5 linked regions of the Sus scrofa genome follow. The protein of the gene in region 4 binds, or shares a complex with, the protein of the main gene of each other region. Links are inferred from orthologs where the notes say so. Each region holds a gene or a part of one and is shown on either strand. Other genes may lie near its edges. The genes, in order: TMEM107, TMEM67, TMEM216, TMEM231 and TMEM17.

Region 1 (6,180 bases), on a different chromosome or scaffold from region 4:
TTTAAATATTTTTTCTTTATGGTGCTATTATCATGCAGATTCATTATTTGTTTTCATATTTCATGTCAGTCTCTCTGACCCCCACAAAGGTAGAGACTTCTGTCTGTTTCTCAAGTACAAGAGCCCAGCACAGTGCCTGGGACTTACTAGCTGGTCAATGAGTATTTGTTGAATGAATGAAGAAATAAAAAATGCCTCTTGGGCTTGTCGTTTAAATCAGCCTAGAAGCATAAGATGGAGAGTATTGATAAAATTGATAAAATAAGTTGTCACACATTGAGATCTAGGGAAGACATTCTGGCTGACACATGAGTTAACCTGAATTTTATGCTAACTAAAATAGCCTCTTTGGGAGGTCCCCGTGGTGGCTCAGTGGTTAATGAACCCGACTAGTATCCATGAGGACAGTGGATACAATCCCTGGCTTCGCTCAGTGGGTTAAGGATCCAGCGTTGTCTGTGGCCTGTGGTGTCGGTTGCAGATGCGGCTCGGATCCTGTGTGGCTGTGGCGCAGCTCAGATTCAATCCTTAGCCTGGGAACTTTCATATGCCGCAGGTGCGGCCCTAAAAAGACACACACACACACACACACACACACACACACACACACACACACACACACACGAAAGCCTATTTGTGGCCTGTCAAACATTCCACATCTGCTTTAATTGTTATAGAAACAGGCACAGGAACCAGAAGAAAAGAATACCCATTGTTAAAAATAATGTGCCCTCTTCCTGGGGTGCCAGTGCTGGCACTCCCTGGATGATAAGACTCCCTTCCCAGGTGCCAAGGACATACTAACTCACTGCGTAGGTGCTGGCCTGTTCTTTTTTTTTTTTTTTCAATCTTGAAGAATTGCAGCCCCGACTTGTTTAATATTCTTTGTTCTGACAGGATATAATACAGTGCTGGAAATCATGCATCTTCTGAGCAGTTTCTAAGAGTGATATGGGAAGCAGATTCAGGGCTACTCAGTAGTTTGGCTCAAATGAAATTTTCTTCAATTCTTATTTTAGATCCTTTATTGATTATTATCATTGGCAACGGGAAGAAGAGCGATGATCCGGTAAGAGGGTAGGGAGGTCCCTGTGAGGTTGTGCATATGAGAAATGAACTCCGGCCAGAACTTTCCGTTCTGCCTGGAACCCTTTTGAGGCCCAAAGGTCAGGGAGGTCGCTGATAGTGAGAGATGCTTGGATAGTAGCTGGGCAAAGTCAAGTGCCCACGCCTCAAAGAGATAAGGAAATCCTTGCAGAGTCTGCATCGACACCCTCGCTCCTGGCCTCCCGGGGACGCAAGGTCTCATTCCCTGCCTCCACCCCCATCCCCAGCCCTTTCTGGTCCTCTTTGTTCCCTCTCTTCCCCAAACACACTTCTTGGGGCACACCCTAGTCCAAGAGAGCGGGCCACTTTCCGCGATGTGCAAATCCCTCACCAGTCTGAGCAAAGGTGTCTGGGGCGTGAGGGAGGGGGAACTAGAATCAACGAAGGTGCAGGTATGGGGTCCTCCAACGACCAGGGGCTCTGGGACAACAAGTGGCAGCCGGACAACATAGGCACATCCACCTCTCCACGTTCGGCCCAGGGCACGTGGGAGCTAAAGGAATGCGGAGGAGGGAAGGAGAGAGAGCATCCAGGCCTCAGGCACAGACAGCCGTGTCCGGAGGTTCATCCGGGACAACGCAGCAGGGGTTGGGGGTCGGGCTGCACCCGGCGTGGGCATCCGGAGAAGGGGGGGGTCCCAGGCTAGGCCCGGAGGGTTTCCGTTCGCCGGCGCTGCGCGGGCAGACTGGACGATGCAGGGCAGCGCCACCGCACACTCGGTGCTGACCGCTCGGCTGCTAGTGACCAGGCAACGGATAATCGGCCTCCCGCCGGAATCAAGTACGACGCAACCTGACTTGCAGTCCCGCGACGGCACGCAGCTGCTTGACAGTTTAATGCTCTCGCGAGATTTTCAGAGATCCGGTCGCAGCACCAGCTACCGCAGTTACCAAGGCAACTGGGCGGTGCCAGCGCGAGCGGGAAGGAGGCGAACGTCGAATTTTTGTCTGCTAGCCTAGGAGACTTGAGGACTGGCCCTCCCCGAGTTTCCAGCCCTAGAAACCCCGGCCTCTGCTCCAGGCAGTACCCCGTCCCCTGGGGGCCATGAGCCGGGTCTCGGGGCTCGTGCCCTCTCGCTTCCTGACGCTCCTGGCGCATCTGGTGGTCGTCATCACCTTATTCTGGTCCAGGGTAAGACCCACGGCCCCGCTCCGTTAGTCCACGCTCCCACCTTGGAGTGGTCCTGGCCCCACTCTACGCCTCTCCCCGGGGGCTTACCCGGTCGGGTGCTCCCCCCCCCGCCCCCACCCCGCCACCGCCGCCCCTCTCTCAACTTCTTTCTTTCTGCCCTGCTCCTCAGGACAGCAACATCCAGGCCTGCCTGCCTCTCACGTTCACCCCTGAGGAGTATGAGAAGCAGGATATTCAGTGAGCACCTGGGGCAGGGTGGTCAGAATTAAGCAGTCGTGGAAGTGAAGGGGTCTTAGAAAAAGTTCAAGAGGCCTAAGCCCACACCCTTCCTTTCTGCAGGCTGGTGGCAGCGCTTTCTGTCACCCTGGGCCTCTTTGCAGTGGAGCTGGTCGGTTTCTTCTCAGGAGTTTCCATGTTCAACAGCACCCAGAGCCTCATCTGTATCCTTTCTTCCGTGCACCTTTCCTGCACCGGCCATTTTCATCACAGCTCCTCTCCGCCACCTAACTAGGCCTTTCTGGTACATTGGTGTTTGTTCTAGTAGGCAAACAGAGTCCCTCCAGTTGAGAAATCTTCTTAGGCACTGTGGGAGATTTAATACAATCTTTGGGCATCTGTTAAGCTCCTGCTATACATCAGTCACTGGAGATCTCAAAATGGGAGTAAAACACAATTTTCTACCTTGAGGAAGAGTTAGACACAGACAGACATCTGTAATTCCGTGTGATAAGCACTGTGCCACGGGATGTGTAAAGATATGAAGCTTGTGGGGACACAGACGAGACAGAGGACGTGAGGGAGATGGATTAGGGAAGGCTTTGGTACTTGAATTGTGGTCAGGGAGGACCAGGGTGCTGGAAAGTGATTCCAGCAGAGAGTAAAAGGTCACAGAGTGCTTGGAACAGATGGGGAGGCTACTACCTCACCTGAACGGTCCAGGCTAGATATGGGGTGGGGGTTGCTTAAGGTCCCAGCTGTGCAGACTCAGCTCCTCTACTCACATGGCTGCCCTAAAACTCAGGATTCAGGGCTGCTGGCTCTGGCCTTTGCAGTGTGGTAAGAGGAGCAAGAGGTGCCCCGCTTCCTAGGATGTAAACCTGAATGTAGATGCCAGCCCCCAAACCGGCCTTTTCTGACCCATTACTACCTATTGATCCAAAGGATTTCCTTGACTCTAGTGTGTTCCAAGCCATTGGGGCTCACTGTAGTGCATCTGTGGCCCTGTCCTTTTTCATATTTGAGCGTTGGGAATGCACCACGTACTGGTACATTTTTGTCTTCTGCAGGTACGGTAGCACCCAATGTTTGGGCATGGGAAAGCAACATTAACTCTAAATCTGAAGATTTCCCTCACCCAGCTCTTTACTCCATGTATAAAATATCAGATCCACTCAACATCCTTTTTTGAAGTCCCCTCCCTCCTACATTTGGGGGTGGTATCTCTGGCTTGGGGATTTGGATTTTTTTATTGGATGAAGGGGACCCCGAAACCACCACCTATCTTCCGCAGTGCCCTCCCAGCCGTCACTGAAATAGCGTTATTCATCAGCGTCTTTGGGCTGAAAAAGAAACCTTTCTGATACCTTCATGACCGGAAGTACGGATGAAGGCTGGAAGAGCGAGGGATCGCTCACCGTTCCTGGAAGAAGGAAGTCAGAGGCTCCAGCTCTTCCTCCAAAACTGCGTCATGGAGGGTATCAGTGTAATAGTAATTATCTCTCGAGTCTGAAATTATGTGTGCTTTGCTTATAGTTCTTTGTAATAAATATATTTTTAGAATATGATCGACTTATAAAAATTTCAGATGAAAATTGGGGTGGCCAAAGTGATGGCTGTTTTCTAGGCCTGCGGACTGTAAAATAGTATATTCGCTTTTATTTTGGTTATTACGGTAGAAGTCTGGCGGGAGGGTGGGCGGGGATATGTAAATAAGGCGGTACTTACGGGTGGGACACCCGGCTGGTAAGTGAGTGGAGCATTCTGGGAGGAATTAGCTTATCCATTTTTGATAGCCAAATGGAAAAACTTATTTTAAAACATTTGGAAATAAATGTACCAAAATATACAGAAGAACCCAAGTAGGCTTAGTTGCTCGGACCAACGCAGTGTTTACTCATCCTATCTTTGAGAGGAATCTTTTTCCCAGAGTGCGGAATGTCACGCTAAACGTTCTTATCGTCAGGTAGGATAATCCTTACCTGTTCCTCCTTCGGGAGGGCAGAATGGAAAATGATGATTGGAGCTCGCATGATTCGTGATTAACGGCTCTGCGTAATCAGGACTTGCAACACCCTGATTGCTCCTATCTGATTCTTCCTGACGATCAGCGCTTTTTATCAGAGTCTTCACGGTTAGAAAGCTGTTGTTGTAGGGAAGACGTTGTACTTCCTATTTCTTGCTAGTACTTTCTTTTCAATTGTGGCTCTTGTCGCGGATGTTAGTGTAGTGCTAACTCCTCAAATCCCTTCTGCCGCGGAGCAGGCTTCCTTTTTAGTCTCAATGGCTGCAGTTTCCACCGGAAGGTTGGTCCAGGTTCTGAATCCACTCAGTAGTCTGCAGGGAACTCCCTGCTGCTGCTGCCTGGGAGGTGGTGATGACAACACGTTCAAGAGAATGCTGCTTCGCATTATATACACAGACTGCAGGAGTCTGAAGGTCGGTGTTAAAGCATGTGTATTCTCAGGGTCATGTTTAGATTCATTACTGAGTGGAATGGTGGAGCCCAGCCATCCCTGGAGATGCTTTCTGGTGATGCCTACACACAGATAATTTTATCCTAGCTCTCTGTCCCTTCTGGCAGCCTTTCATTCTTACTATCACTCAAAAAACAAAACCAAGCAAAAAACAAAAACTGAGCAATTCCTATATGCAGAGCGCTGTAGTACTGAGGGAATAAATGTGAATATGCTCGGTACTCGCCTTGGCCCTCACAGATGCATGATAGATATGGCTCATGGAGGCAGACAAGAGACAATTTCTAGTATTCTCAGAGTAATTTAATAGCGAATTATGATAAATGCTATAAAGGCGACTATGGAGGCTATGGAGTAGGGATTAATTTGCCCAAAGTGGTACAAGTGTTGCTTCTCCAGGAGCAATTTGAGTGAGGTCGTGGAGTGTGCCTGAAGCAGATGGGCAGGGGGGGTGGACATTGTGGGCCACAGTTGTAGCTTGACTAGGAAAGTCACATCCCACTGCAGTTTGGGTTTCACCAATGATGTGCTCTACCAATTTGTGAAAGATGACTTTTTGATTTTTACAAACGTTATGGACAGGTTGTTAAAATCAGCTACTATCAAAAATTATGTTGGAGTTCCTGCTGTGGCGCAGTGGGTTAAGAATCTGCAGCAGCTCAGGTTGCTGTGGAGCTGGGGGTTCCACCCCGGATCTGGCTCAATGGATTAAAGGATCTAGTGGTTGCTGCAGCTGCAGGTGTAAGTCACAGCTACAGCTTGGATTCAATCCCTGGCCCAAGATCTTCCATATACCATAGAGTGAGGCTATTAAAAAAAAAAAAAAAAAAAAAAGAGGAGCTCTTCTAGGGTTCCCTTCATGGTTCAGCAGTTAATGAACCTGACTAGGATCCATCAGGATTCAGGTTCGATCCCTGGGTTCGCTCAGTGGGTAGAGGATCCAGCTTTGCTATGAGCTCTGGTGTAGGTTGCAGACGGGGCTCAGTTCCCACGTGGCTGTGCCGTAGGCCAGAGGCTTCAGTTCCCATTCGACCCCTAGCCTGAGACCCTCCATATGCCCTGGGTGCAGCCCTGAAAAGCAAAATAAAAAAAAAAAAAAAACAGAGAGGAGTTCCTCTTGTGACCCAGTGGGTTAAGAAGTGGACTAGTATCCATGAAGAGTTGGGTTCTATCCCTCGCCTCCTTCAGTGGGTTAAAGGATCCAATGTGGGTGGTGGCTGTGATCTGGGTTGCTGTGACTGTGGTGAAG
Region 2 (5,489 bases), on a different chromosome or scaffold from region 4:
TATTGCTTTGGAGTTGAAAATATCAGTATGGATTCATTTATTTTATTTTATTTTTATTTTTTTTCTTCTTTCAGCCACGCCTGAGGCATATGGCAGTTCCTGGCCAGGAATCAAATCTGAGGCACAGTTGTGACCTATGCCACCGCTACAAGGAATGACAGATCCTTAACCCACTCTGCCACAGTGGGAACTCCCTGAACTCATTTAACAGATACACGAGAAACAGTTATATACATGTGTGTATGTACATACATAATGTGTGTATATACATTTCCAGCTATGTCTGCTAAAAAGGGCACACTAAGCATGGTAACTATGCTTTCTGAATACTATTTTTAAGAGCTTCGTAGAGAAACAGCTGATTCTGGGGCTGAAGCAGGAAAAGTACAAGTAAGGAAATGCTCAAAGAATGATGGGGATATGTCAAAAAGATATAGGAACCAACTCAAAAGGGCTTCTAATGGCCAAATCTAGGACAATTTGAGCATCAAAACAAGAAATACATATATTGGACTATTAAAAAATGAACAAAATAGGAACCCACACTGTTCTTAATGAACAAATAAATATATAAATGAGAAGGGGAAATTCTTCCTTAGAGTTGAATGTTAATAATGTGGAAGGAGGGAGTTCCCGTCATGGCTCAGTAGTTAACGAATCTGACTAGAACCATGAGGTTGCGGGTTTGATCCCTGGCCTTGTTCAGTGGGTTAAGGATCTGGCATTGCAGTGAGCTGTGGTGTAGGTTGCAGACATGGCTCGGATCCTGCATTGCTGTGGCTCTGGCGTAGGCTGGCGGCTACAGCTCCGATTCGACCCCTAGCCTGGGAACCTCCATATGCTGTGGAAGCAGCCCAAGAAATGGCAAAAAGACAAAAATAATAATAATAATAATAATGTGGAAGGAATGGTAGAAACATTTGGCAACCATCACAGTAGCAGCTGATAAAGGGAAGTGTCATCAGTGGAGACTAAAGCTATTAAGGTTTAGTGAAGAAGTGTAACTTTGGAAACGCTTCTCAAAAATATGAACCAATCACAAAGGGAAAATGGTAACTTTACAGTGCACATGGTGAGTTTATGGCAGGGGATCAAGGTTAACATCACCAGCAGTGGGACAGGGACAGGTAGGCATCATGTGCACCCTGATGTGACACAATGTACTGAGAACAGCACACCTTTTTTGTGGTTTCCTGCCAAGCATGACCTGACTATGAAGAAAGACCAGATGGACCCAGGTTGAGGATTTCGCTCTGGATTTAAAGCCTGAAATCTTTCAAACTGTCAAGCTCAAGGAAGGCAAGAAAATACTGAGGACCCGTTCCAGAGGAAGGAAAATGAAAGGGACATGACCTCCAATTGATTAGTAATCTGAGACCAAATATGAAAAAGAGACATTGTGGGAATTTTTGGCAAAATTAACTAAATTTGAAAAAGGAAAAAGTGAAAATTAAAGGCCTGCTAATTGGATAATGGGAGGAATCACTATAACCCAAGACTGGAGAAGAATGTCCCCAAAGACATGCATCTTATTACAGATGAGCTAATTTTTGGATATGATCTCATGCTCCCTATCTATACACCTATTTTGGCATTTTTTTGTTGTTGCTGCTCTGCAAATACCTGGTACTTGCCAGTTAGGCCACAAGACTACAGCAAAGAGGAATTTTTGCTTTATTCATGAGGATCCCAGATTTTACCCTCATCAAGGCTATCCTTACAGCTCTCCTAGTTACTCTCATTTTCTGCTCATTAACTAACCTCTAGTTAATCATCTAACTTCTATTCTATTGACTTGGTGACCTCTTCAGTTCCAGTTCATGCACTTCCCATTGTACATCCCAGACCGTGTCATCACTGGCTTCTGCTGCAAAAGCTCTAAATCTATGCCCTTGTACTCTCATCAATAAATAAGGAACCATGGACTTCCTTTGTGGCTCGCAGCAGAACTATAAATAAGGAACCTTGCCAGATAAAAATAATCCTCAAATCTCCCGTGACTACCATGTGCAGACACTGTGAGGTAGGTTATTATTATTCCCAATTTACAAATAACAGAACTGAAGTTTAGAAAGCCTAAAGATATAAAACTAATGACAGGAAATCCAGGGTTCAAATCTAGAGTCTTTGGTGCTCTTAACTGTATTAAGCTGCACTCTTTATAGGATCTATAAAGAATCTTTCCAGCTTAAACATTCTGTGATTCACTGAAAAAGAAACAAGCTAAGGGAGAGAAGACGTATAAGTAACGAATAAATTATAATGCTGAGTTGTTAGTCTAATGTTTCTTATTGACTGATAACTGCTGCTTTAAAGTGATTTACACAAATGTTTCTCATTTTACCCCAAATTAAGGACCAAAGGAAGAAATGCAGAAAGATCCTTAACAACAGAACAAAAAAACTGAAGTATACTCACAAGCTCTCCATAACGTGCAGTTGAAATCATATGTGGGGGAAAATTCCCTGTGCTGCTGAAACATAATTCTCCTGTCTTCATAAATAAATAAGAGGGAAAAAAAGTTAATGGAAGAGTATAAGCAATTTAATTTAAAAATATATACATTATAAATTTGATCAGCCTTACTAAAATGTTAGGCTCTGAACATGCACAGGACCTGCTGGTATTAATGAATGTTGGTTCACATCGGACACACCTGTCGATACAACAAAAATAGTTTTGAAAATATTAATGAATTACAGTAGCCCTAATCTAATCAAGAATTTGTCTTCCTGAACACTAGGTGTGAATAGGTTCATTCCACTAAGCAAATAGTTTTAATAAAGTAAACATATTAAAGTATTTTTTCATTTTTTAAAGTTTTATTGCATATTAAAAGTATGAACACTGATTTGAATAGTTTTATACTGTTCTTTGTATTACAAACCAAGGTATAAAAAAATAAAATCAACCAATGATAGGGGAATAGTTTTCTGAAACCACACATAATAGAAAACAAATAACACTGAATAGAAAAGATGGCTAAGTCACTCAATTAACAAAAGAACCCAACAAACTCACATAATGAAACCCAATCCATTTTTATAAGTAGTTATATCAAATATACTTTAATTATTTCTCTGCCACAAAGCAAAAAGGTAATATATGCTAAAAAGACACATGTATCTATCCCCTCATCAAGCCCATAATCAACACTTTAAAAGTTTTTCATTGACTTTACTTATTTTAGGAAAAAATATTGTTCATTAATAAATGATATAGAGGGAGAGAAGGCGTTGGATGAGCATGGATCCTGATGGGTTTCTATGGGTATTCATTACCTGCAAGATAGGACAGGTATGAGAGGAGGCTGGGGCATAGTACGTAGCTCAAACTAGGCTTGGGGAGGTCTAAGAGGGGAAGAAAAAGGGGTCAGCCCAGTAGGCTGTGTTAGGATGCTGCAACTTAGGTCAGCCAGGGAGAAAAGATGATCAACACTAAGTATCCCCAGGAGAAGCTTCTCTAGTATTTTCTATCTTAAATTTGGGAATTGAAGAGAAAACAGTGCTTAGAGGAAGGTCAGCATGTAGGCTTCTAAAAAAATTGAAGAATTTGGAATAGGAATAATGTGGTTAAGTTAGAGATGGAGGGGTGTGTATATGGTGCACAGGATGCATGCATAAACAGGAACAGGAAATGATAGAGAACAGGGCTATAAATCAGGGTACCTGGATATGGTAATTATCACTACATTCATTAATGTATTTTTATGAAATACAATATATATAGTACCCAGTATACAGTAAGTATACTGCAAATAAATGTTACTATCATATACTATATATTAGATTATAGATTATGTACAAAATACCTAATGACAAACAAAAATAGTATCTTTTACTGAGCGCTTACTCTGCAGTACTTAGCTAAGACCCTTAGGTATTTATTTCTGAGCTGTGATAACAGCCTAAGAAGTAGGTGGTATATCCCCATATTAAAGACAAGGAGACTGACTTGCCCAGTGAAGGTCAAACAACCAAAGAGAGACTAAAACAAAATTTAAATCCTATTTTCTCTCATTCTCTGGGCCTAAGCTTCTTTACCTGTTAATATCTACTTCTATCTTTCCTTGGGTTATTGCAAGGAGCAAGAAATATGATTGGGAAGGCAAGACTCTACATAAATATAAGATGATATTAATGAAGTTAGCACCCAGCACACTGCTTACCTGGTTCCTAAAGCATTTGCTACCGTAAAAGAGTTCTCACTGTCATCACAGAGCTTACAAGTTGCTTGGGACAACAATGTTCCATTAACATCTCTTTCCACTAAACAATTTAGAAACAACAAGATATAATTCATAATCAACATATAAGCTTCTATACACTTAGTAAAACCCACCTGTAATATTATTCTAAAACTTCCCATAATGCCTTATTTGCATAAAAGACAGGTCAAGCACCTTCTATTATAATAAATTATCGAAAAGTGAAGCCCTCCCCATTACCACATGAAAAATACAGAAACTAATTTCCAAATCATCATCATCATCATAAGTTAATATATTTTTCTCAGAAAATTTCTTACATCTTACCTACATGTTCTTGTTGTACTGGGTATGGGGAAACAAATATTGACATAGACTGCTGATGTCTTTCACAACTTAAAAGGCTTTTGGTAGTATCTACTCAAATTATTTCATTTTCAGATACCTAACCTACAGAAACACTTGTACATGTGTATAAGAATATTCATCAAAACAATATTTGTTAGGAGTTCCTGTTGTGGCTCAGTGGAAATGAATCCGACTAGTAACCATGAGGATGCAGGTTTGATCCCTGGCCTCGCTCAGGGGGTTAAGGATCCAGCATTGCCATTAGCTGTGGTATAGGTCACAGACATGGCTCGGCTCATGTGTTACTGTGGCTGTGGTACAGGCCAGCAGCTGTAGCTCCGATTAGATCCCTAGCCTTGGAACTTCCATATGCTGTGAGTGCGGCCACAGCATAAAAATAAAGCAAAAAATAACAACAACAACAAAACAATATTTGTTAGAAAATGATCTAAATAGAAAATGCTAATGACATACTATGGAGCAGATATAAAAAGAATGAGGCAGATCTAACAGATCATATTGTTAACTGAAAAAAGTATGCTGCAGAACATTATTTTTGGAATATTTACATAAAAATACCATTTATTTGTCCTGTGGTTACAATGGACATGTTTGTATTAAAAACAGAAAGAAAGAAAAAAGATTCTAGAAGGACACATTCTAGAGTCTACTTCTTACCCAAGATATGGCCAGTAGGACAGTGGCATTTTCCTTCTGCAGTTAAGCCATCAGGGCAAGAAATACAGTTCCAGCCATCTTCAGTAACACCTTTCTAAATTGGAAAAAAAAAAAAAAAAAAAAAAAGATTATTTTCCCCTTCTTGATTAACTTTCTCCTTAATTGATCATGTAAGTTCAAAAAGCCACAACAGTGTATAATTTGAAGGCAATATGTAAAAAAATTATATACATATGAGGCATAAAATTTTCCTAAA
Region 3 (6,217 bases), on a different chromosome or scaffold from region 4:
AAATCAAAACTACCATGAGGTACCACCTCACACCAGTCAGAATGGCCATCATTCATAAGTCGACAAACAGTAAATGCTGGAGGGGCTGTGGAGAAAAGGGAACCCTCCTGCACTGTTGGTGGGAATGTAAGCTGGTACAGACACTATGGAGAACAGTATGGAGGTACCTTAGAAAACTATACATAGAACTACCATATGAGCCAGCAGTCCCACTCTTGGGCAATTATCCAGACAAAACTTTCTTGGAAAAAGACATATACACCTGCATGTTCATTGCAGCACTATTCACAATAGGCAAGACATGGAAACCACCCAAATGTCCATTAACAGATGATTGGATTAGGAATATGTGGTATATATGCATAGTGGAATACTACTCAGCCACAAAAAAGAACGACATAATGCCATTTGCAGCAAGCAACATTGATAGAACTAGAGACTCTCATCCTGAGTGAAGTAAGTCAAAAAGAGAAAGACAAATACCATATGATATCACAAATGAACCCTTCCACTCATGGACTTGGAGAATAGATGTGTGGTTGCTGAGGGGGAGGGAGCGGGATGGATTGGGAACTTGGGGTTAATAGATGCAGACTATTGCCTTTGGAATGGACAAGCAATCATATCCTGCTGTGCAGCACTGGGAACTATGTCTAATCACTTATGATGGAGCATGATAATGTGAGAAAAAAGAATCTATACATGTATGTGTAACTGGGTCACCCTACTATACAGTAGAAAATTGACAGAAATTCACAGAACACTGTAAGCCAACTATAATGAAAAAAATAAAAAAATAAATAAATAAATATATATATATATATATATATATATATATCAGCAAAAGATGCACATGCCACCAGGAAGGACCCTGAGTCAGTAGAAATATGGGCACAAACAAGATAGTTGGCTAGAGACAACACCCCACTCCTGACAACTTGGAGCACTGGCCCCCCATAAAAGCTATAGAAGCCACTCTTATTGTACACAGCTCTTTCTGTAAGCTCACCCCTGTGTGCTCTTTCACATGTACTGTGCTTTTTTTTAATTGGCCACACTTGTGGTGTGCATTGAACCTGAGCCACAGTAGTGACAGGCCAGGGATTGAACTTGAGCCACAGCAGTGACAACACTGTATCTTTAACCCACTGAGCTACCAGGGAATGCCACACATACTGTACTTTATTTTTGCTTTTTTAGGGCTACACCTGAGGCATATAAAAGTTCCCAGGCTAGGAGCTGAATCAGAGCCACAGCTGCCGACCTACGCCACAGCCACAGCAACTCAGGATCCAAGCCTTGTCTCTGACCTACACTGCAGCTCACGGTGATGCCGGATCTCCAACCCACTGAGCAAGGCTAGGAATGGAAGCACATCCTCATGGATAAAAGTCAAATTCGTTTCAGCTATGCCACAACAGGAACTCTCCATACTGTGCTTTTAATAAACTGCACCTGCTTCACGGTCTTGGTCACCTTGCTGAATTCTTCCCCCAAGGAAGATAAGAACCAAGGTCTCTCACTGCCGAACTCAAGCTCATTGTGTTACTCATAGGCCCTGGGTACCAGGGAACCAGGATGCCACAATGATGCTCCTGTGTTTGTTATTTCAATCTTATTGCCTATTTTTAGCACCGATGGGAGCTACTCCTTGCTGTCTATGACAGGAGTCAGCAAAATTTTACTTAAAGGGCCAGATTGTAAATATTTAAGCCTGTGAGCCATATAGTCCTAACAAGTGATGCAACGACTCAGCCTGAAAGCATGAAAGCCTATTACATGAAAGCAGATGTATTTCATGGATGTGGCTGTGTCCCCCCCAAAAAAACTGGAAGAAACAGGTCTTCAGATAGGTGTTTTGGGGAGAAGACTTTATGAACCCAATCCTGGCATCTCCTCATATCTAGAAAAGCGCTAAAATCCTTCATGGTGATGCCTGCTCCTCATGACTAGCGGGAAACTTCACCAAAGGAGAGTAACTTTCTGCTAAATTGTACCACCCCTTTCACCAAAATCACATATATACTGGCATTGCCCCCACTTTTTTGGAGCATTTTTTTTTCCAGAGCTATCTGAAATGCTGCCTCCCAGGCTATAGTCCTCACTTTGACGGCCCAAAAATTTAACTCACAATTCTCACATTGCGCATTTTTTAAAAGTCTACAAGTGTGACATCTTTTTCCTGTCCTACCCTTCCTGACAGTGGGCTAACCCCTATGTCACCCTGAGTCCATTCAAACCCCTTCTTCCTGTGATGGAACATGATGGAGGAAAATGTAAGAAAAAGAATGTATGTATATGTGTAACTGGGTCACTTTACTGTACAGCAGAAATTGACAGAACATTGTATCAACTACAATAAACAAAATTTTAAAAAAGCAAAAAACAACCCTTCTTCCTAGTCCCCTGCCCTGTGGGGTAACACATTTTTACTGCTCCAAATCATAACAAGTTTCAAAGCCCAGTTTACAGGCCATGTCTTGGAAACGTCTCCCAACCCCTACCGAGAGTACTTTGTCTTCTCAACTGCCACTGCACATTGGGGTCAAGTGCTGATTATATTTCATCTTTTGCTCTTATTTATGCTCCTTGAAAGGAGCCTCCAGTTCCGACTAACTTTGGTACCTTCTTCTTCTTCTTTTTATTTTTTTTATTTTGTTTGTCTTTTTAGTTTTTAGGGCCGCAGCCGTGGCACATGGATGTTCCCAGGCTGGGGGTCGAATTGAAGCTGTAGCTGCCAGTCTATGCCACAGCAACCTGGGATCCTGGCCACGTCTGCAACCTACACCACAGTTAACCACAGCGCTGGATCCTTAACCCACTGAGCAAGGCCAAGGATCCAACTTGCATCCTCATAGATACCAGTCAGGTTCCTTTCCGCTGAGCCACAAGGGAAACTCCAACTTTGGTATCTTCTAACTCCCTGGTACATAAATCAGATGCATAGAAAAACCCTACCCCCGCATCCCCTCCCCTCAGAAAAAGACTGTTTACACAAAGGATCCCCAAACTCCACGCCGCATTTGCAGCGCACTGTCGCGCACACTATTTCTCATTTTAAGACCCATGTTAGTAAAGAAACCATGGGACCAGGGCCTATTCACCAACTCTGATCACATTACCACTACTGGCTGCTTCGAACAATTCCTGGTAAATTTGGGATGGGGGCGGGGCGAAAACTGCCCCGCCCTCGGAGTCCTGCAGACGACATCATCTGCTTTCTTATCAGTCCTCTGCCAAAACCCCAGCGAAGTCGGTTCGCGGCCCGCGCTCCTCCCGGCGCAGGCGTGGCCGTCACAAGAGTGCCCCCGGCCCCAGGTAACCATCGAGTGCAGCAGGCGGATAGAAGGGCCCGAATCCAGGGCCGCTCCGTCCCTCGCTTCCGGCAACGCCTCGCTGCTCCAGGAGTGCTGTAGCCGCGTATGCAGTTTCCATGGGGACTGAAGATGGCGCCGCGAGGTGAGGTTCTGGAGGTGTGTGAGTTGCTGGTCCTGATCCCTTCAGTTTCCCCCCCCACCCCGCCCTCCTCTCCCAGCGTCGACCTGAACCCTCCATTCTCCTCACTTGTCCACAGCAGGGTTTAGCAGCCTCACCTACCCTGAGTGCCAGAAGGTCTCGAGATGTGGGTCTCAAATACCCCCAAATCCTTGGCTCAGCCTGTTCTAGGCCGGCTCAATAGGAATTTGCAGCGTGGCTTCACACTGGCCAGTGCTGTCTCTGGGTCCCAGTTTTCCTTCCTAAATAGCGACGAGGTTAGATCCCTGACTTTCACCCCCAAAGCCGAAGCGGTAGAGTTTGATGGCGATTCTGGAAAGGAGGAGATTGAAGGAAACACACACACACACTCACTCCTCATCAGCAAACAGAAGTGCCCCCAGGGACCCTTTCTGTCAGCTGAAACCCCTCCACACTCCGTACGCACACGCGCGTGCACACACACACACACACACACCACACAGACACCTTCTCATCAACAATCAGAAGTGCCGCCAGTGGCCCTTTCCACCAGCTGCGGCCTCCTGTTTCCTCCAAGTTAGACACAGAACCATTCAAATAACTGGGGTTGAGCTGCCTGCCCTCCAGCCCGTCTCTTTTCTCTGTGCTCCTATTTTCAGGTAAACGGTTATCTTCCACCCCCCTGGAAATCCTCTTCTTTCTGAACGGGTGGTATTATGCTACCTATTTCCTGCTGGAACTCTTCATATTTCTGTATAAAGGTAAGGTCTGGGGTTTAACTACCCTTTCCCCAACATCCCTTCCCCACTTCAGCCCAGAGCCAGCTCCCACCCAAAGCCTTATTTTTTCATTCTTTTCTGCTCCCCTGCAGCTCTTCTTCACTGCAAGGTCTCTTCATCAGATGGCTTCCTTGAGAATGATTCAGTAGGAAGCCACTCAGCAAGAATTTCTTGAGTTTGGGAAATGGGGGCTTCTCCCTTCTGACTCTCCCCTGTCACCTCTCTTTGCTGAACTCCACTTTAAGCCCATTGGTGACCCTCAGAAGCTATTCAGCGCCGTATATCCGTGTACATCTGATCTGATAACTGGAGAGTGGCGTCCCCACAGAATCTTTTTTTTTTTTAAGGTTTTATTGAAGTATAGTGATTGCAACTATAAATTGATTTGCAATGTTGCGATAATTTCTGCTGTACAACAGAGTGATTCATTTACACATATCCACATCTCCATTCCTTTCCAGATTCTTTTCCCATGTAGGTTATCACAGAATACTGAGTAGAGTTCCCTGTGCTATAAATAGCAGGTCCCCACTGACCACCCATCCATTCCATATGCAGTAGAGCCCCACAGACTCTTGGAGTTAGGAGTAAAAGCCCATAATTACGAGCCTGCCTCTAACAGACATAGCCGCACCATGAGTTAACGGATCCTGCCCGTATCTCAGTAAGTAGCTCATGGGAAGAGAACATGATAAGACTCATGTTCTCTTTATTCCCAAGTGAGTGGGAGACCTTGTGTGTGCTGTTCGACGTTGTTTGCAAACTCTGGCTTTTGTATCGCAGGTCTCCTGCTACCATATCCAACAGCCAATCTGGTCCTGGATGTGGTGATGCTCTTCCTTTATCTTGGCATTGAAGCAATTCGACTGTTTTTTGGTGAGTGTTGTCCAGAGGCTATTTCCATTCCTTGCGAGATGAGCTGGTATCTGTAACTTGATGAACAAAGAAAAGCACTTAACCTTGGCTCACAATGAGAGAGTGGATCTGGTGGCATATCCCGTTACACCCTCTCTGAAGTTTCAGGCGGCTTCATACTTGGGGTCAAGACTTACCTGTCTATTGCTCTGTTGCGCCACAGGTGGGTGGCGGCATGAGATATTAGATCATTCCTTCCCGATTATCTAACTACAGGAGTGCCTGGTTCCTCTCACTGGTTTCTTGGGAGAAGAGATTTCGTTGTAACTCCATGTCCAGGGCAGTAGATCAGCAATAAGGTCCCCTCCGGTTCTCTGAAAAAGGATTTCTCTAGGACAAGTTTACATCCCCGGAGGTACAGAGCAATCCCTCATGAGTTACCTCATCCCTGAAAACGGTGTTAAAACATACACTGAGGGAAAAAAATAACTTCAACAAAAAGAGGTTCACATAAAGAACTAAGAAAAAGATAACCTCGTTTTAAAAATTAGCAAGGGAGGAGTTCCCTTTGTGGCTCAGCAGGTTAAGAACCCAACTAGTATCCATGAGGATACGGGCTCAATTCCCGGCCCCGCTCAGTGGGTTAAGGATCCAGTGTTGCCGTGAGCTGTGGTGTAGGTCGCAGACATGGCTCAGATCCTGTGTGGCTGTGGCTGTGGCTGGTAGCTGCAGCTTCTCCATTTCAGCCCCTAGCCTGGGGACCTCCATATGCCGTGGGTGTGGCCCTAAAAAAAAGTGCACTGGGAGTTTCTGTTGTGGCTCAATGGCAATGTGCCTGACTAGTATCCATGAGGTTGTGGGTTCGATCCCTGCTCTTGCTCAGTGGGTTAAGGATCTGGTGTTGCCGTGAGCTGTGGTGTGGGTCGCAGACGTGGCTCAGATCCCGCATTGCTATGGCTCTGGTGTAGGCCAGAGGCTACAGCTCCCTAGCTGCGAAACTCCATATGCAGCGGGATCGGCCCAAGAAATGGCAAAAAAAAAGAAGAATCACAAAGGACCAGTAAACATTATAAAATGCCCAAACTCACTAATAAAAAGCAAATTGGAAAAACAAGGTGACATTTTTA
Region 4 (6,177 bases):
AGGCTAGGGGTCGGATCGGCCTACACCACAGCCACAGCAACGCCAGATCAGCAACGCCAACCTCATGGTTCCTAGTCAGATTTGTTTCCACTGAGCCACGACGGGAACTCCTGGTTTTATGTTTTAAAATGTAGAATTACCCAGTGTTAAAGAGCACTGATAGTTCTGGCCACCATAAAAACAGGAGGTAGTTTTGGCTTTATAAAATCGCAAGACACACACACACACCAGAAGCTGGGGGTTGGTGGGCAGTGATCCTGAGGGAGTGGTTTCTGTTTACCGAGATAAGAGGCTAACTAGCAGTACCGCTGGGAAGCCAACCGGTTGTGGAAGATGAACAGGTGAATAAAACTGAGAAATGAAATATTGCCTGCCTGCCTTATCAGTAAACAAAGGATGTCACAGAGATTGCAGTCACCTCTGAAGGGGAGCCCTGAGGGAACTCAGGAAGGAAGCTAAGAATACCTGCCTTCGAACAGCCATCAGGCTGCAGCCACACCGGATGGCGAGCCCTCAGGAGGTGAAAAGCCAGAGAGCTGAGGTGCCCAACAGAGGAATGGTTTCACTGAGCCCTGACTCTTCCATCTTCCCAATACAAAGAAATGTGCTAAATTTCTTGAGATATCTAGTTTTTTTTTGGGGGGGGGTGCTGTACTCCCATATGGAGGCTCCCAGGCTAGGGGTGAAATCGGAGCTGTAGCTGCTGGTCTACACCACAGCCACAGCCACACCAGAGCCGAGCTGTCTGTGACCTACACCACAGCTCATGGCAACAACGAATCCTTAACCCACTGATCGAGGCCAGGGATCAAACCTGGTCCACATGGATGCCAGTCAGATTCGTTTCCACTGAGCCATGACGGGAACGCCCTGGTTTTCTTTTATTAACAGTAATCTGTGTGCCCTTTGCTGCAAAACTCCTATGTATCCCAGCTCCCCTCCTTTCCTTAGAGTGGGTTTTCTCAGGGTTACCAGAGAAGCGGTCTCCTGGGCTTAAGTCCTCAGTTTTGTCTACTGAATATAAAACAGAACTCTCAACTTTTAGGTTGAGCAAATTTTTTTTTTTTGTCTTTTCTAGAGCCGCACCTGTGGCATATGGAGGTTCCCAGGCTAGGGGTCCAATGGGAGCTGTAGCTGCCGACCTATGCCAGAGCCACAGCAACGTGGGATCCGAGCCGCGTCTGCAACCTACACCACAGCTCACGGCCACGCCGGATCCTTAACCCACTAAGCAAGGCCAGGGATGGAACCCGAAACCTCACGGTTCCCAGTCAGATTCGTAAACCACTGAGCCACGATGGGAACTCCTCCTTACTGTGTTTTTTATTTGCTTGCGTAGTTTTCTGTGTACTTTTACAATTTCAACATACAGTTTCTATTCCAATTTCTCACAATGTGATGTTTAAAAGTAAAAGCAAATCAAATATCCACCAACAGGAAACTGGTTAAATCCATTACCACTTTCTGTATCGATTACTTTGCAGACCTTAAAAAGAAGTTTGATTAACAAATATTGATACATGGGAAGTTCCTATTGTGGCTCAGTGGTGATGAGCCTGATAGTATCCATGAGGATGTGGGTTTGATTCCTGGCCTCACTCAGTGGGTTAAAGATCCCGAGTTGCCATGAGCTGTGAGGTAGGTCACAGATGTGGCTGATGTGGCTTGGATCCTGCTCTGCTGTGCCACAGGCTGGCAGTTGAAGCTCCAATTCAACCCCCAGCCTGGGAACTTCCATATGTCCCAGGTGTGGTCCAAAAAAAAAAATGAGACATGCAATTCTAGACATACTGAGTCTACCCACATGGAATTAGGTCTAGCAGGGGAGAGATGAGAAATAAATGAATTATACACAAATACTGATATATGTGCCAAACTGGGTCTTTAATTTTATGTCATTATATATACCTGTAACTCTTTAATAATTTACAAGGAGAATTCATAATCATAAAAAAGGTAAGGAAAGTTAAATATTCATAAAAAATCTGAATCCTATTTTGCTTGTGGTTATTCATATGAACAGTCAGATTACTTTTTTTTTCATTTTATTAAGTTGCTGGGAAAAATCTTATTTTTTTTTTTTCAGCTACACCAATTTGGCTGTAGGCCAATCATCTCAGAGGTGTCTAAAGAGATCCAACTTTGAAAGAAGAAAATCCAGAATTTTCCTACTTTCAAAGGAAAATGTCTCCTGAAAATGAGCGTAAAGGGGTGGGTGACTATAAAGGAAGCATTCACTTACCTCGAATCAGACACTAGATTACAGGCAGTAAAAAACTTCGTTTTCACCCCCAGACGGCGGCAGGATGCAGCAGCATCTCAGGAGGCAAGCCCAGGGAGGCTGGACTGGGCCAGCAACAGTCTGGGGAGGTCACTTAACCAATCAGCGCCTCTGCTTCCACATGTCAGTCTGCCTAAAAATACCCGCCCTTTTTGTTGCTACTGCTTGCTGAAGCACAAGCCAGCTGCAAGAACGAGTAATTAAAGAGAGCATTAGACATTCGCGTCATGGCTCAGCGCTTAACAAGTCTGACTAGCATCCGTGAGGACGCAGGTTCAATTCCTGACCTCCCGCACAGGGTTACGGATCCGGGACCTGGCGTTGCCATGAGCTGTGGTGTAGGTCGCAGACGCGTCTCAGATGCCTCTTTGCTCTGGCCCTGGCTTGGGCTGGCGGCTACAGCTCTGATTAGACCCCTAACCTGGGAACCTCCATATGCTGCGGGTGCGGCCCTAAAAAAAAAAAAAAAACAGAAAAACCAAAAAAAAAAAAAAAAAAAAAAAGAGAGAGAGAACGTCAACTGGCTTTCACGACTCAGCAACTTTCGCGACCACGCTTCCATCAGGCCACGCCCACGGAAATGGGGGCCAGAGACAGGCTGTCCGCAGGCTATCAGTCTCTGTGTGGGACACACACCCTGACAGCAGTGACTAATTTTCTCGGGGGTGGTGGACGGCTTGGAGAATTCGAATATTACAAAATATTTACTCCCCAGGAAATTAAATATAAGCTTAGGCCAATGAGCCTGTACACACAACTTCTGTGGATTCGTAACTCCTTCAGACCCAAGCAGGGCCCCCAGGGACAAGGACCCGGACCGCCCAGCTTCCTCCCACGCATGCCCCTATCCCCATCTCCATCCATACACCCGCCCAGAACCACGCACCGAAACGAGCGGGACGCGCAGGTGATCCCCCTGCAGTCGGTTGAAGGCAGGGAACGTGCTCCAGGCCAGGAATCCGCCGTGCGCGTGCTCAGGTCCCAGCAAGGCCACGAGCAGCACTTGGTGCTGGAAGCGTACGGTCGGCTGCTCCTCGTAGCTACTCCGTTTCAGCCAAAACCCTGAGGTAAAGAGGGCAGGAGGCAGAGGGGAAGAGGTTAGGGAGGCCGGCGGGAGCACCGGGGAGAATCCTGTCGCGCACTGGCCTTCAGGCAGGCTCACCGTGGCTCCGGAAGGCCACCAGCAGCGGTGGGATGTACGTGAGGGCGGTGGCCAGCAGCAGGAACAGCGCGGCCTTGGAGCAGAGCCCCGCGCGGTAGCCGCGCTCCACCGGGTGAGAAAAGAGTTCGTGGAGCGCCATGAGCACAGGTCGGAGTCGGGCTGCGCGTCCCGGACCCCTCCGCGGTTCCAGAGACTCGACCAACTTTGGCTTCTCCTGGTTGCCATAGCCTTGGTCTCCACGGCAACCGCAGGCGCGGGGAAAGGAACCAATAGCAAGGAAGCTGGCTTTGGTGGGGGTGGGGCTAACGGGGGGCGGTACCCACTGGTGGATCGTAGTCCTAGCTTTAAGCGTTAGGCGCCCTTTCCTATAAGCTGAGCAGAAATGGAATGTTCCGTGCCCCCAAATCTTAGCATCGCCCTTGTTAACATTTGTGTCAAATTAGATTTTCATAAATATTAAAGTAAATACCTGCATAAGTGTCATCTGTTAATCCCCAATGTGGTTCACTGTACACTGAGTCCAGTAACGGCACACCTTACATTGGAGGAAAACAGTGTGGTCCTGGACCTGGTCACTCCTTTGTATCCAAATGTACCTTTTTTCTTTCTTTCTTTTCACTTTTATTTATTTATTTGTTTGTTTGTTTTTAGGGCCGCATCCGCAGGCATATGGAAGTTCCCGGGCTAGGGGTCAAATAAGAGCTGCAACTGCCGCCTACAGCACAGTTCCAGCAACACAGGTTCTGAGCTGCGTCTGTGACCTACACCACAGGCCATGGCAATGCCAGTTCCTTAACCCACTGAGCGAGGCTAGTGATCCAATCCACATCCTCATGGATGCTAGTCAGGTCCCTTACCACTGAGCCAGGGCAGGAACCCCTGTCTCCAAATTTTCTAATGCTTTCACTAGTCCATAGCAAGACAGACACCGAAACAGGTCACAAAGCACCCTGCTCTTCAAGGGATAAGGATAATTACTATATAGCTCTACTATACTATGTTATAGTTGAGCACAGGCTTGACGACCTGTTTTGGGGAAGCTCTGGCCCTCTGCAAAGTTAACCTTGGTGTGTCACTTCATTAAAAGCTCTCCCTAGTATTTCAAACAAGGCAGAAGGATCTTTTTTTTTTTAAGGGCCATACCCATGGCATATGGAGGTTCCCAGGTTAGGGGTCAAATTGGACCTACAGCTGCCAGCTTATGCCACAGGCATGGCAATGCAGGATCCAAGCCATGTCTGCAACTTACACCATAGGTCATGGCAACACCAGATCCCTAACCCACTGAGGGAGGCCAGGGATCAAATGGATCCTCATGGATACCAGTCTGATTCGTTTCCACTGGACCACAATGGGAACTCCCAGGATTTTTTTTTAACACGTTCAACAGCCAACTTCTTTATCAAAAGGACCCGAAGAATCAAATGTCAGTGCCAAGAGATAGTGTGAGGTTTGTTATCAGAATGGAGTCCAGCAGTAGACGCTCCTATTTCAAAACCAACCTAGAAGTGCTTTTGTCTTCTAGTTTCATTGGGATATAACTGACATACAGCACCATATAAGTTTAAGGTGTACAACATAATGATTTGACTTACATACATCATAAAATGATTACAATAAGTTTAGTGAACCCTTCACCTCATATAGAAAATTAAATAGAAAATATTTTTCCTTATAATAAGATCTCTTAGGATTTATTCTCTTTCTTTCATATGTAACCCAGTGCAGTGTTAATTATATTTATCATGTTGTACCTTATATCCCTAGTACTTATCTTGTAACTGCAAGTTTGTACCTTCTTTTCATCCAATCCCCTCTTCCCTCCACCCTGATTCTGGTAGCCACAAATCTGATCTCTTTTTTTAATGAGTTTGTTTATTTTTGGAAGTATAAGTGACCTACAACCCTATTAGTTCCTGTTTCACAGTATGAAGTATTTCTACACATTTCTTTTTTTTTTTTTTTTTTTTTTTTTTTTTGGTCCTTTTAGTGCCGCACTTGCGGCACATGGAAGTTCCCAGGCTGAGGGCCCTGAGCCACAAGGGGAACTCAAGTATACCTATACATTTAAAAACGATCACCATGAGAAGTCTAGTTACCATAACCTAGAAGTGGGTTGTAGATGAGGAAAACAGCTGAGATCCTAACAACACAGAGAGAGGTCAAGACCTCCCTTATGCGAGAACTATCCAGAGTCCAAGCTGACAATGTCAGCAGCCATAAGATGTTTCTGACATATCTGGTCCCGTACTATATATTCTTGCTTTAAAGCTTTTCTGAGGTAGCAACACAGCTGTAAAAAATTGATAGGCTTAAATCTATGTTGCGATTCTGACCTATTGTATCTGTGCTTTAAGCGAATGTCTTTCATTTATATAACCATTAAAATAAAATTTAGAGGCGTTCCTTTGTGGCTCAGTGGGTTAAGGATCTGGCAGTTGTCACTGCTGTATCATTGGTTAGAGTTTTGGGGTAGGTTCAGTCCCTGGCCCGGGAACTTCCCCAGGCCATGGGTGCCGCCACAAAATTTAAAAATTTAGGGAGTTCCCATCGTGGCTCAGCGGTTATGAACCCGACTAGTATCCATGAGGACACAGGTTTGATCCCTGGCCTCGCTCAGTGAGTCAAGGATCCGGGGTTGCTATGAGCTGTGGTGTAGGTCGCAGGCATGGCTTGGATCCAATATTGCTGTGGCTGTGGTGTAGGCCGGCAGCTACAGCTCCGATTTGACCCC
Region 5 (5,966 bases), on a different chromosome or scaffold from region 4:
AACTAATCTCAAAAACTTATCTCCTAGGAGTTCCCATCATGGCTCAGCAGGTTAAGGATCCAGTGTTGCCGTGAGCTGTGGTGTAGGTGGCAGACCTGGCTTGGATCCCCCATTGTTGTGGCTGTGGTGTAGGCCAGCAGCTGCAGCTCTGATTCAACCCCTAGCCTGGGAACTTCCATAAGTGTCGGGTGCGGCCCTAAAAAACAAAACAAAAACAAGCAAACAAACCCCCAATCACCCTAAGTTATAATTAAACTCACCCTTTTTCAGGCATACTGAGGCTTTGGAGTCCAAGTAAACCCAGAACTCCCCAAATGCCCTCAGAACTCTGGATGCCATTTTAGGACTCTTTGAGCCTTAATTTCTTTATCTGTAAAATGGTAATATTAAAATCACCTCACAGGTTGTTTGTGAGGATTAAAGATAATAGAAATTACTTCACTATAGAACCCTGCCTGGCCCTCAGTAGGCACTCAATAAATATTAGTCTCCTAATTCCTTCTCTTTGTTGACTTATACACAAACTCACTGTAACCACAGACCACAATATACTCAAATTTGAGACCCTCACAGAACATAGCATCTTGCTTTACACAAGGTAAAGACCAAATACAAATAAGTAGAAAGAATTAAGGACATTAGCAGTACAGCCATTCATGATACATGAATGAGTTTCATTTATCTAAAGTTGATTATAGCTGCAGCTGCCAGTCTACACCACAGCGACGCCAGATCCGAGCAGCATCTGTGACCTACATCACAGCTCACAACAACTCCAGATCCTTAACCCACTGAGCAAGGCCAGGGATTGAACCCATAACATCATAGTTCCTAGTGGGATTCGTTTCCACTGTGCCACAATGGAAACTCCAAGAATTTGATTTTTAAAATTGAGCCCCCCTACAAGGCAGCTCTGTGGCACAACTGATAGTACATTGGATTTTTAATGGATAAGCAATGAGGTCCTACTGTATTGCACAGGGAAATATATCTGGTCTCTAGGGATAGACCATGATGGAAGATATGAAAAGGAATGTGTGTGTGTGTGTGTGTGTGTGTGTATATATGTATATATATTTATATATATGTGTATATATATATATATGACTGGGTCACTTTGCTATACAGCAGAAATTTGGCACAACACTCTAAATCAACTATCCTTTGTTTTTTTAAAAAGGAAAAAATATAAAAAGACTTTATAAATTAGAAACAAATGAGCCCTACAAATGCATCCTAAATTTGACTAAAAATTCTAACAATTTAAGAACAGATAACATACTTTGAAATCCACAGTTCTAAAAGAATGGATTTACAAAGACTAAATTTTTTTTTTTTTTTTTTTAGGGCTGCCATAGGAAGTTCTCATGCTAGGGATCAAATCGGAGCTATAGCCACTGGCCTACACCACAGACACAGCAACTCGGGATCTGATCGAGTCTGGGACCTACCCCACAGCTCATGGCAACACTAGATCCTTAATCCACTGAGCGAGGCCAGGGATAGAACCCGCATCCTCATGGACCCTAGTTGGGTTCGTTAACTGCTGAAGGCTCTAAAATTTCTTAAAAGTATATTTTTATTTTTCTCTATAGCTGAGTATTTTATATCTATCATTTAACAATTTTAAAATGTAAAATAATCACAGTCTCTCATAGCAAGGTTTTCTTTAGCTCCAAGAATATCCCTCGTTATTATGATCTACTTTTTAAACATTGTGTGATTATGATCTACTTTTGCTTGTACTTATTGATTAAATTGCCACTGATCAAGGCATGCATTCTTAAAATCTGTTAAATCTGAAGATAACTCACCTGCCTAGGATTTTTTTTCATAACAACCATACAACTCTTGGTCAGCTGTGGACAAGGTCATAATATACCCTTGTATTTACAGTACAAATAATCGAACCTATTTCAGATCCACAAAGAGGAAAATGTGGAAAAATATGATAAATTAGTTAAGCTGAAAATTTTAATAACTTTAGAGCAAACACTGTAGTCAAATTTTGCAAAGAAGTTATTATGTTAAGAATTTTGTACACAAGCCTCTTAAGAGTTATGCTATGTCTATATTTCAGAGATCAAACTTATAATCATGCAGTTGAAAATCAAGTTAATATGTAAATGAACTTTGAAAGCAAGCACAAGACATGAATTTACTAAATTTTGCAAAAGTACAAGTTGAGTTCTATAAATGGAATTTAAATTAAAACATTTTATAGTATAAATCAGGGGTAGGCAGACTACCAGCCAGCTGCCTGTTTTTGTATAGCAAGTGAGCTAAAAATGGTTTTTTCACATTTTTAAATGGCTGAGAAAAAATATCAAAGAATAATATTTTGCGACACTGAAAATCATAGGAAATTCAAATTTTAGCATCCATAAATAAAGTTTTATTGGAACACTGCCAAGTCCATTCAATTACCATCATCTATGGCTGCTACATGCATCTATGGCCTGCAAGGTCTCAAATATTTACTATCTGGCCCTTTACAGAAAACCCCTGATACTTTACATCATCAGATTTTAGTGCCTGTTAAGCTTTAGAATCAGAAATGTAAAAGTCAATTTTTTTTTCACATTATGTTTTTCTCTGTACATCCTAAATCATGGAGGCTTAAATTGGAGGGACAGGCTAGTAATCAGCGTGGAAAATGAAACTATGGGAACAGACTTCTCTCTGCCTCCTTAAAAAAAAAAAAAAAAAAAAAAAAAAAATCCCTAAACCAAGCAAAAGGAAAAGATTTCTATTTCCCAGCACAGTTCAGTGATAAAAAGCGCACGGGTTTGGTTCACAGTATGTTGTCTATCATCATGATTTAAGAGGGGGAAACTGCAGGAAACTGCGTTGTCACTTGTCATGTTGAATGTAGCATCATGGTATTCTGTTACTTGATTTAGGGCAAGAGTTATATATAGGGAAGGAGAAGAAAGCAGGGAGAGGGTGAGTTTTGTTGGAGACGATGCTAGTGTGGCAGCTGCCACTCTGAATTGGATAGCGTTTAAAATAGTTCATTAAAACAAAAACAAAAACTTTTCATGCTTTCTGCCAGAAAACGGACTTGTGGTGGAACATACTTGTTCTGGTAGAAAAGAAAAAAAGGAAAAGATATTTTACTGGGGTTGGGGGTGGGGTGGGACGGGGAGATTGCCTGGGCTGTTTTCACTCCATCCTGGACATAATATGCCAGGGCGGATGCCGCAGAGGAAAAGCAAAGTCGGCCTTCTCAGCCTTCTCGGAGGGCGCGGGACTGGACGCGGAATGCGAAGGCGGGTTTTGTTCTTGTATTTTTTGAGGAAGGCTGGCGCCACGTCGGCCGCCCCTCTTGCAATTCGCCCGCGAGGCTACAGCACCATCAGCCGAAGACCGCCTGGGTATTTGGCCCCGAATATCTGGTCCTAGCCCCAGCCCCAGGCCCAGCCCCTCCTCCAAGGAGCCTCCCGCACTGCGGTGAACTCTCTGAAGACGAAACCGCCATCTTTGGTCTGGGCAAAATCTGGCCGCTCCACGCGCTGCGCTGAGCCTCGGCCACTCACCCGGACCCTCGCTATACTCCGGCCCGGTCCGGTTGGAGTCGCTGAACACGGTCCGGCTGAAGTTTCCCAGCCGCTGGCGGACCGGATCCGGCAGCTCCATGCTCAGGCCTCAGTACTGCTCCCACCTGGGTCTTCGGGCACCGTGGCGCTTTGAGGTTCCCACAGCAACCGGGCCGCGCGAGGCTGGGGGCTGGGGCGCACGCGCGGCCCCGCTGCGGGCTGAGGCGCCAGGCAGCCCTGGAAGATAGAGGAGTGCAGGGAGCCAGTTCCTGCCCAGCGCCTCAGCATGATGCCAAACCGCAGATTCCTAAGTCCTGCTTTAACGGCCACCATTTTAAAAAAGGAATAAAAATAATAATTAGTGACTAGAGTTGGATTGTGATACAAGGAGCTCTAAGACCTTGCCAGTGGGATACAATCTTTCTGGGAGAAAATATAGAATGAATGCTGAGTTAACAGACTGTTCATGACCCAGTAGCTTGTGTGTGTGTGTGTGTGTGTGTGTGTGTGTGTGTGTGTGTGTGATATTATTACATCCTAGGAATATTTTTTAATATATGCATGCCGTATGTATACAGACACATATGTATGTATACACATACATACTCTCTTATAGGAATACGTTATATATTAGGAATATTATATATATATACATAGCATATATATACGATACACATATATATTGGGTGAAATACATTGAAGCAGTTTAAAAGCATGTTTGCAATGAATATTTAATGATGGGTTAACTTTAAATTAAAAAAAACCAGAAGTAAAACTAAGTAGGAATGAACCTAATTTAGTAAAATGTGTGTGTGTAAATATATGGGGAGCAGAGAGGGGGAGAAGATGGCACAAGCACTGTGGCTTCAAAAGAAGACTAGAAGAAAATAATCCAAAATGTTAGTAGTAATGTCTAGATAGTGATTGTGGGTGATTTAAAAAATTTAAAATAGGAATTCCTGTTGTGGCTCGGGGGTTTAAGAACCCAACATAGTCTCTGTGAGGATGTGGGTTGGGACCCTGGCCTTGGTTGGTTAGAGATCCGGAGTTGCTGTGGCATAGGCCTGCAGCTGCAGCTCCAATTAGACCCCTAGCCAGGAAACTTCCATATGTCACAGGTGTTGCTATAAAAAGAAAAAAAAATTTAACCACTTAGTATTTTTCTAGCTTTCCCTCAAATAAGATGTATCGTTTCAGACAGACAGACAAACAAACAAACAGACAAACTGGTTAGGTACAATTATGTACAGAAAAGTGTACAAACTGAATATACAGGTGTAACAAGAACCCAGATCAAGAAATGTAACTTTGGAGTTTCAGTTGTGGCACAGTGGAAACAAATCCCACTAGGAACCACGAGGTTGCGGGTTCAATTCCTGGCCTTGCTTAGGATCTGGTGTTGCCTTGAGCTGTGGTGTTGGTTGCAGATGCGGCTTGGATCCTGTGTTGCTGTGGCATAGGCCTTCAGCTGTAGCTCGGATTGGACTCCTAGCCTGGGAGCCTCCATATGCCATGGGTGTGGCCCTAAAAAGCAAAGAAAAAGAAAAAAAAAAAAAGAAACTTAACTTTACCAGTACCCTCAGAAGCTCTCCCTTCCTATTTCCTTGCAGTCACTAACCCTCCACTTCTAACTAACCTTTCCTGACTTCTAATACCATAGAATAGTTTTGCCTATTTTTATTCTTTATATAAAAGTAATCATACAGCAAGTGCTTTAAAAAAAGAAAAAAAAAATAAAAGCTGACTTTTTGCCCTCTTTCCTTGCGGTGTGACCACACCACAGTAAGTTTGTGCAATCTACTGTTGATGAGCATCTGTGTATTTTCTAGTTTGGAGCTATTGTGCATAGTGCCGCTTTTGGTGAATATATGTCTTTTTGTGAACATATGTATGTATTTTTGTTGAACTTATCTCTAGGAATGAAATTGCTGGCTTATGAGGTATGACCCAACTTTAAAAGATCTTGCCAACAGTTTTCCAACGTGGTGGTACCAATTTCTACTACCTCCAGTAATGTACGAACATTTCTGTTGCTCCAAATCTGTCATCAGTCCTTGTTTTCCATACTTTCCTTTTAGCCATTCTGATGGGTATGTGGTAGACTATTATTTTTACTTCATAAAAGAAAGCCACACTTATGTATATAAATGTCAAGAGCAAGGTATTGGAGGAAATAGCTACAATAGGTAGCATTTCAAAATAATTCAACAAATGTTAATTGCCTTCCTACTGCTTTTGGGCATTGTCCTAGACTAATTAGTGGTATAGTCCCTCCCCATCAAGAAAATCAGCCAAGTGAGAGACATGGAAACAAATAAGTAGAGCACACTTCAGTAATTAACATAGATGAGAAAGCAACTAATTCTGGTCTGGGATGTTGGAGGCGGGGGAAAAGCTGGCTAACTTCTGCTTCTCTTCAAGGTGGAG

The links.
Region 1: TMEM231 (region 4) and TMEM107 share a complex: the UniProt entries of both Homo sapiens proteins name them as parts of the tectonic-like complex. The link is inferred for Sus scrofa from reciprocal best matches to the Homo sapiens genes TMEM231 and TMEM107.
Region 2: TMEM231 (region 4) and TMEM67 share a complex: the UniProt entries of both Homo sapiens proteins name them as parts of the tectonic-like complex. The link is inferred for Sus scrofa from reciprocal best matches to the Homo sapiens genes TMEM231 and TMEM67.
Region 3: TMEM231 (region 4) and TMEM216 share a complex: the UniProt entries of both Homo sapiens proteins name them as parts of the tectonic-like complex. The link is inferred for Sus scrofa from reciprocal best matches to the Homo sapiens genes TMEM231 and TMEM216.
Region 5: TMEM231 (region 4) and TMEM17 share a complex: the UniProt entries of both Homo sapiens proteins name them as parts of the tectonic-like complex. The link is inferred for Sus scrofa from reciprocal best matches to the Homo sapiens genes TMEM231 and TMEM17.

Annotation. Positions count from the first base shown.
Region 1 is NC_010454.4:53,392,892-53,399,071, reverse strand, and holds TMEM107 (transmembrane protein 107), read left to right. Parts: upstream 1-2,007; 5' UTR 2,008-2,151; coding exon 2,152-2,238; intron 2,239-2,407; coding exon 2,408-2,475; intron 2,476-2,577; coding exon 2,578-2,678; intron 2,679-3,427; coding exon 3,428-3,524; intron 3,525-3,748; coding exon 3,749-3,818; 3' UTR 3,819-4,572; downstream 4,573-6,180. UniProt on the Homo sapiens protein: Plays a role in cilia formation and embryonic patterning. Requires for normal Sonic hedgehog (Shh) signaling in the neural tube and acts in combination with GLI2 and GLI3 to pattern ventral and intermediate neuronal cell types.
Region 2 is NC_010446.5:42,920,109-42,925,597, forward strand, and holds part of TMEM67 (meckelin), read right to left. Parts: intron 5,328-5,489; coding exon 5,234-5,327; intron 4,269-5,233; coding exon 4,169-4,268; intron 2,657-4,168; coding exon 2,587-2,656; intron 2,494-2,586; coding exon 2,419-2,493; intron 1-2,418. UniProt on the Homo sapiens protein: Required for ciliary structure and function. Part of the tectonic-like complex which is required for tissue-specific ciliogenesis and may regulate ciliary membrane composition.
Region 3 is NC_010444.4:10,118,843-10,125,059, reverse strand, and holds the start of TMEM216 (transmembrane protein 216), read left to right. Parts: upstream 1-2,799; 5' UTR 2,800-3,422; coding exon 3,423-3,459; exon of another isoform or gene 3,460-3,473; intron 3,474-4,115; coding exon 4,116-4,217; intron 4,218-4,793; exon of another isoform or gene 4,794-4,899; intron 4,900-5,018; coding exon 5,019-5,111; intron 5,112-6,217. UniProt on the Homo sapiens protein: Part of the tectonic-like complex which is required for tissue-specific ciliogenesis and may regulate ciliary membrane composition.
Region 4 is NC_010448.4:12,138,178-12,144,354, reverse strand, and holds the start of TMEM231 (transmembrane protein 231), read right to left. Parts: upstream 4,039-6,177; 5' UTR 3,669-4,038; coding exon 3,168-3,668; intron 1-3,167. UniProt on the Homo sapiens protein: Transmembrane component of the tectonic-like complex, a complex localized at the transition zone of primary cilia and acting as a barrier that prevents diffusion of transmembrane proteins between the cilia and plasma membranes.
Region 5 is NC_010445.4:79,413,496-79,419,461, reverse strand, and holds the start of TMEM17 (transmembrane protein 17), read right to left. Parts: upstream 3,696-5,966; 5' UTR 3,640-3,695; coding exon 3,540-3,639; intron 1-3,539. UniProt on the Homo sapiens protein: Transmembrane component of the tectonic-like complex, a complex localized at the transition zone of primary cilia and acting as a barrier that prevents diffusion of transmembrane proteins between the cilia and plasma membranes.